Linked DNA regions of Callithrix jacchus. The protein of the gene in region 2 interacts with the protein of the main gene of each other region in a pairwise test. Links are inferred from orthologs where the notes say so. Each region holds a gene or a part of one and is shown on either strand. Other genes may lie near its edges.

What was found. The genes of interacting proteins can lie anywhere in the genome.
Region 1: the proteins of LSM1 (region 2) and PSMB5 interact in binary tests that used the Homo sapiens proteins (3 or more experiments, as listed by UniProt). The link is inferred for Callithrix jacchus from reciprocal best matches to the Homo sapiens genes LSM1 and PSMB5.

Annotation. Positions count from the first base shown.
Region 1 is NC_133509.1:57,405,011-57,409,404, forward strand, and holds the start of PSMB5 (proteasome subunit beta type-5), read right to left. Parts: upstream 2,821-4,394; 5' UTR 2,813-2,820; coding exon 2,600-2,812; intron 1,643-2,599; coding exon 1,336-1,642; intron 1-1,335. UniProt on the Homo sapiens protein: Component of the 20S core proteasome complex involved in the proteolytic degradation of most intracellular proteins. This complex plays numerous essential roles within the cell by associating with different regulatory particles.
Region 2 is NC_133514.1:38,987,976-38,990,910, reverse strand, and holds the end of LSM1 (U6 snRNA-associated Sm-like protein LSm1), read left to right. Parts: intron 1-141; exon of another isoform or gene 142-246; intron 247-1,820; coding exon 1,821-1,991; 3' UTR 1,992-2,317; downstream 2,318-2,935. UniProt on the Homo sapiens protein: Plays a role in the degradation of histone mRNAs, the only eukaryotic mRNAs that are not polyadenylated. Probably also part of an LSm subunits-containing complex involved in the general process of mRNA degradation.

The DNA.
Region 1 (4,394 bases), on a different chromosome or scaffold from region 2:
GGCTGGTCTTGAACTCCTGACCTCAGGTGATCTGCCCTCCTCAGCCTCCCAAAGTGCTGGGATTACAAGCATGAGCCACCACACCCAGCCTCTAGTCTTAGTCTATAGGAGAGAGAACAGATGGAAAAATATGAGTCAGATACTATACTAGTAGCTTTACATTTATTACCTCACTTAACCAAGGTAACAGATGATAAAACAGAGGCTGTGAAAATATGTGTGTATGCATGCCTACTATCACAGGTAGTCAGTGACACAGCTGATCTAACTCCATGCCTTTCCCTATAGTACAGTGACTTCCTTGAATAAAGAGAAGGAACAGATTTGGTGCAGTGGCTCACATCTGTTTTCCCAGCACTTTGGGAGGCTGAGGCTAGCTTGGCCAACATGGTGAAACCCCGTCTCTACTAAAAATAAAAAAACTAGGTCAGGCGTGATGGCTCATGCCTGTAATCCCAGCACTTTGAGAGGCCGACGCGGATGGATCACCTGAGGTCAGGAGTTCAAGACCAGCCTGACCAAGATGGTGAAACTCTGTCTCTACTAAAAATACAAAAATTGCCAGGCGCAGTGGCTCACGCCTATAATCCCAGCACTTTGGGAGGCTGAGGAGGGCAGATCACCTGAGGTTGGGAGTTTGAGACCAGCCTGACTAACATGGAGAAACTCCGTCTCTACTAAAAATATACAAGTAGCTAGGCCTGGTGGCACATGCCTATAATCCCAGATACTTGGGAGGCTGAGGCAGAAGAATCAATTGAACCCAAGAGGTGGAGGTTGTGGTGAGCTGAGATCACGCCATTGCACTCCAGCCCGGGCAACAAGAGTGAAACTCCATCTAAAAAAAATAATACAAAAATTAGCTGGGCATGGTGGTGTGTGCCTGTAATCCCAAGTACTTGGAAGGCTAAGGCAGGAAAATCTCTTGAACCTGAGAGATGAAGGTTGCAGTAAGCCGAGATCACACCATTGCACTCTAACCTGGGCGACAAGAGCGAAACTCTGTCTCAAAACCCCCCCCCAAAAAAAAAAAAAAAACAAAACTACCTGGGTGTGGTGGTGGCCACCTGTAATCCCAGTTACTTGAGAGGCTGAGGCACGAGAATCACTTAAACCTGGGGGCGGAGGCTGGAGTGAGCTGAGATCATGCCACTGCACTCCAGCCTGACTGACAAGAGTGAGACTGTCTTAAAAAAAAAGAGAGAGGAAGGAAGGGCTAAAGACCTAATCAACACATCCTCAGCACTGACACCAAACCCTTTAATTCATCTCCCCATCCAACTCCTCCTCCCTGTAGTGTCAGCCCAAGGACCACGTGGTTGCAGCTTAACTCACCAGGGCCTCTCTTATCCCAGCCACAGATCATGGTGCCCATGGACAGCCCCATGCCTTTGTACTGATACACCATGTTGGCAAGCAGCTTGGAGGCAGCTGCTACAGAGATGCGTTCCTTATTGCGAAGCTCATAGATTCGACATTGCCGAGCCAACAGCCGTTCCCAGAAGCTGCAATCTGCTGCGCCCCCAGCCATGGTGCCCAGCAGGTATGGGTTGATCTCTATCACCTTCTTCACCGTCTGGGAGGCAATGTAAGCACCTGCTGTAGCCCTGGAGTCAGCCGCAACTATGACTCCATGGCGGAACTGTTAAGATGAGAGAAAAACACAAAACAGGCCACATAAGACCACAAAAACACCCCTACATACTTCTTTTTGCATCAATCGAAACCCAGCACATCTTTCTGTCCTTCTATACTTCACAGTATACTTCTCCACATATTAATGTCACTTGAGCTTCACTTCAATCCTTTGACATGGGTATGACCCATATTAAATTCATTTTACAGGATGCGTGCGGTGGTTCATTCCTGTAATCCCAGCATTTTGGAGGCCAAGGTGGGAGGCCAGGTGCTGGAGACCAGTTGGGCAACGCAGGGAAACCCATCTCTACAAAAAGTAAAAAAATTAGCCTGTCATGGTGATGTGTGCTCTGGAGGCTGAGACGCTGGCACGACTGCACGCTAGCCTGGGGAACAGGGCGGGACCCTGTCTTTAAAAAAATCATTTTATAGATGAGGAAACTGGTTCAATGAGATCGAATGACTTGTTCAATCTAGTTACTGCAGAGTTGGGCAAGATGCCCCAAATGTCTGGTTCTTGGTACAATGCTTACCCTCACCAAGCTTCCCCTTCATGCCAGTTTCAGATACCCTTGCCTTGAGGGGCCGCCCAGTTTCCAAAACTTTGGTAAACGGTTTCAATAGCCTTCCCTCGGCCAAGGTTCATTGTTGTTGCGGTCTTTCCCCCTTCCCAGCTAAAAGTTTCTGAACAGCAGCAACCTGGGGTCGCCTAGGACATTAACCCAAGAAGCCTCTGCTTCCTTCCCGACTTACCCCCAACCCCGCCACCACCCTCTCCAACCAGAGCGAGGACAGGGGCCTCCTGGGGCAATGAAACAGCAAAACCACTGCGGTCCGAAAGAGAGGACCGAGCCTCCGCCTGGGTTGGTGGCCAAGGCCACCGCAAACTCCAGTCAGGCTGGGAGGCCAGGCAGGTCGCGGACGTTCAGTACTCAGCCTGGCAGGGCGGCTGGCTCCGCACCTTGAAGGCCAGGGTGGTTGTTCCATGAAGCATTTCGATTCCTGGCTCCTCTGGGACACTCCAGCCTGGCATGGCCAGGGTCAGCCCATCACTGGGACTTCCTGGACCCAGATCCAACAGATCTGCACGACCCCCGAGTCCGAAAAACCCGGGCTGGTTCACCGGTAGCTGTCTCTCCAACACGCTGGCTAGCGCCATGTCTAGTGTGGGCATAAAGAACTAACTCTGACAACGCCTACCAAAGATAGGCTTGGGCAACGCCTCGCCGTCATAGCTTCACTTCCTATTAAATCTATTCCGGAAAGGAGCCATTTTGACTGCTGGCAACCACGCCTCCAGAAAGAACAGCCAGATGCGAAAGACTATTTTCACTGAAGACGGTGGGGGAAATAGATGGCTTCACCAACCTTTAATTCTGAAAGGATGTAGCTGCCATCTTGGCTTTGGTCTCGCACGTAGTTTTGGATCAGAGTAACTTCAAATTCACAGGAAGTGACTGGAAACGTCCATGTTGCGCGAGGGAAGTGAGGTCGGCCATCTTTGAGAAGGGAGTGACTGGTTGAAAATCGGTTCTGAACTCTTAGTGGTGAGTCCTCACACTACAGCCTGGTGTCCAAGCAACAGGTTACATCGCTGCTGCTTCCAGCACCTTGTTAACGCGCCTTGGGTTGCCATCTTGTTTAAGGGGACCCTCTAAAATTGGTCCATTGGTAAAATGATGATCCATTCTGAGACCATTTCCCCATGATATTAAACCACAGTAATTTGTGGTAAAAAGCGCAACAAAATAAAAGTGCTGTACCTCTTGTCAGTTGCCTTAACAGTAACCGGTTTTTTTTTTTTTTCTTTTGAGACGGAGTTTCGCTCTTGTTACCCAGGCTGGAGTGCAATGGCGTGATCTCGGCTCACTGCAACCTCCGCCTCCTGGGTTCAGGCAATTCTGCCTCAGCCTCCTGAGTAGCTGGGATTACAGGCACGCGCCACCATGCCCAGCTAATTTTTTTGTATTTTTAGTAGAGACGGGGTTTCACCATGTTGACCAGGATGGTCTCGATCTCTTGACCTCGTGATCCACCCGCCTCGGCCTCCCAAAGTGTTGGGATTACAGGCGTGAGCCACCGCGCCCGGCCCAGTAACCGGTTTTTAATATCCAATATTCTCTTGACTCCTACCGTCTGGTGGAAATTCAAACAAGTAATGAATTGCCTAAAAGGCAGATGAAAGAAGAAAAAGCAAAGGGTTCAGTTTATCCATAAACTAAACTCTCAATTCAGACCTGAATAATTGTCACTAGTAATTTACCATCTCAGAGCCTGGAGGACAGTTGAGACTGCATAAATATGTACCAAGAGATTCTCTAACTTCAACTTGCCAAGGTGATGCTCTTTATTCAGGAATGTACTATATTTCATTGCCTCCCTCCACCCACCTTCATTTTTCGAATCTTTTGGGAACTATAACAAACCAGAAAGTGTGCATATGTATGAAATGTTGCCTCCTGCCTTATGGTTCTATGAAGTCAGTGTCTGGCCTTCCTTGTTGGATCCTAGCAACAACATCTATCAACATCGAAATTCCACTTTCCTCTTGAATTGGGCTGGATGCCCAATTCAGCCCCTTCTTTCCTGCAGCAGACTCTGCATATGCTGTTATTTGTTTTGTTTTTGAGATGGAATCTTGCTCTGTCACCCAGGCTGGAGGAGTGCAGTGGAACAATCTCTGCTCATTGCAACGTCCACTTCCCAGGTTCAAATGATTCTCCTGCCTCAGCCTCCCCAGTAGTTGGGATTACAGG
Region 2 (2,935 bases):
GCGTGGTGGCTTACGCCTGTAATCCCAGCACTTTGGGAGGCCGAGGTGGGTGGATTGCCTGAGGTCAGGTGTTTGAGACCAGCCCGGTCAACATGGTGAAACCCTGACTCTATTAAAAATATATAAAATGAAAAATGTTGTGCTTGCTTTGGCAGAGCATATACTAAAATTGGAACAACACAGAGAAGATTAGCATGGCTCCTGCATAAGGATGACATGCAAATTTATGAAGCCTTCCATATTTTTAAAAGTAAATAACATGAAAAATGTTTATAAAGCATTCAAAAATAAAAATATTAAGCATACTGTGCCACATGTAAATGAAAATGAATTACAGTCAGTATTTGCATTGTGGGTTTTTGGGTGAGAGGGGGTTGTTTTTAAGACAGAGTCTCACTCTTATCCAGGCTAACTGCAGTGGTGTGATCGTGGCTCACTGCAGCCTCAAACTGCTGGCCTCAAGTGATCCTCCCCCCTCAGCCTCCTGAGTAGCTGGGATTACAGGTACATATCACCATGCCCAGCTAATTTTTTTTTTTTTTCCTCTTCAAACAGATTCTTACTCAGTCGCCCAGGCTAGAGTGCAGTGGTGTGATCTTGGCACACTGCAACCTCTGCCTCCTGGGTTCAAGTGATTCTCTTGCCTCAGCTTCCTGAGTAGTTGGGATTACAAGTGTAAGCCACCACGCCTGGCTGGGGTTTTTTTTAGTCAGTATATACATAGAAAAATTGTAGGGATATTAACCAAAAATGTTAATTCTCCGTATTGGAATTATGGATGATTTTTTAATTTTTCCTATTTGTCTTTTCTATATTATCTGCAATGAGCATGTACTTTTTAAATAAGGAAAAGGAATTTTTTATTAGGCAACAATTTTTTTAATAGTGGAGAAAAATATTGGGACCAAATTGGTTTAGTAACCTCAATGGTCTGCTGAGGTTTTCTCTAGAATACTTCTTGCCATAAAGGAAAAAAAGAGTCTTGTGTTATAGTTTAGAGACTACAGAGCCGGTGCGATGGCATATACCTGTAGTTCCAGGCATATACCTATAGTACTTGGGAGGTGAAAGCAAGAGGATCCCTTTTATTTTTGCCTTTTTATTTATTTATTTATTTTTGAGACAGAGTCTTGCTCTGTTGCCCAGGCTGGAGTGCAGTGACATGTTCATGGCTCACTGCAGCCTTGACCTCCAACTTCCCAGGCTCAGGCAGTCCTTCCACCTCAGCCTCTTGAATAGCTGGAACTGTAGGTGCACACCACCACATCTGCTTTTTTGTGTGTGTGTATGGAGTTGGGGTCTCACTGTATTGCCCAGGCTGGTCTCGAACTCCTAGGCCCAAGTGATCCTTCCACCTCAGTCTCCCAAAGTGCTGGAATTACAAGCATGAGCCACCCCACCCATCCTTAAAATAATTTTTTAAAAAATTTTTCTAAGGCCACACTGCCTCAATAACCTCCCTCTTGGATTCTCTACAGCCGGGGAGATAGCTGTCTATAAGCAGCCCTAATTTTTTTTTTAAGGAGATTAATCCTTGACTAATAGAAAATGAATCCTAATATGGGATTTTGGATCATATAAAGCTTTGTTATAGAAATACTGATCACTGTAACCACATTCATCGTAAGTATGTATCTTATCGTAGTGTTGTCAGGCACTTCTTTGAAAAACTTACCTGTCCCTAGGAGAAGGATATTTCAGTCCTGTCACAGTTATGAAAAATAATTCGAGCCTGATACAGGAATCCATCTGCCTTTAGATCGGTAATGTTTTCTATTCTTGGTCTTCAGGTGAAGTTTTCAAACCTGTCTCTTTTGTAGGACTTGGAAAAGGAGAGTGACACACCCCTCCAGCAAGTATCCATTGAAGAAATTCTAGAAGAGCAAAGGGTGGAACAGCAGACCAAGTTGGAGGCAGAGAAGCTGAAAGTGCAGGCCCTGAAGGACCGAGGTCTTTCCATTCCTCGAGCAGATACTCTGGAGGAGTACTAAGTCTTGCCCAGAGGCTGTTGCTCTTGAAGAGTAGGGGCTGTCACTGAGTGAAAGTGACATCCTGGCCACCTCACACAGTTGATCAGAGACTGTAGAGTTTTGAAAAATCACTCTTATTTTTCATTCTTTTACACATGAAACATGAATAAATCATGTAGGTGGGTTTTTTTTTTTAAATAGCAAAATCATTGTTTCAAGAAACAGTGGCATAGACTCCTTCACATGTCACTGGCACCAGCAACTACTTTATATTGTTCTTTGTGTCCCGAATTAGAGTTTACAGGGACATTCTTCATTTACTTGTAAATAAAATATGAATCTCAAAAGTGTCATGTTATTTCCAAGTTTGAGTTGCCTCTAATGAATAGAAAAAATGAAGTTTCTGTTCTCAAAGGTATTAGAATCCACATACTGGAATTTTCCCCCTTCAGTCACAGTTTCAAGTAACTGGCTACTTAGGAAGGAATACTTTTATTCTGATCATCTCAAGGGTCCTCTCCTCTTTTCATGTTTGTATCTGATAAGAAATACAAATTTTCAGCCTTGAGGAGGGAGCTTTCAGCTGAGTTTCCCAGTTACTGGCTACTGCAGAAGACTCATGTTTGAGAAACAACATCAACTGTTGCTCTTGCTCCTGCTTCACCCATGGCTGATCTAAACTAAGTCCCCATGAGACCTAACATGTTCTTAAGGTGCTTGGTTCTTCAGATTTTCTGCTAATTTAATTAGGTTTTCTAGTCCTTTGAATTGAGTCTTGAGTCTCTTATGTTCTTATCAAAAAGGAACATAAATGGAATTTTAGTGACCGAAAGCCCATAGTGATGGCATTTTGTGTGATTGTTGAAAAGTAATGATTGCATAAAAAGCTTAACAGATTTGTACTTCAAGGATGCTGGGTGCGGTGGCTCACGCCTATAATCCCAGCACTTTGGGAGGCTGAGGTG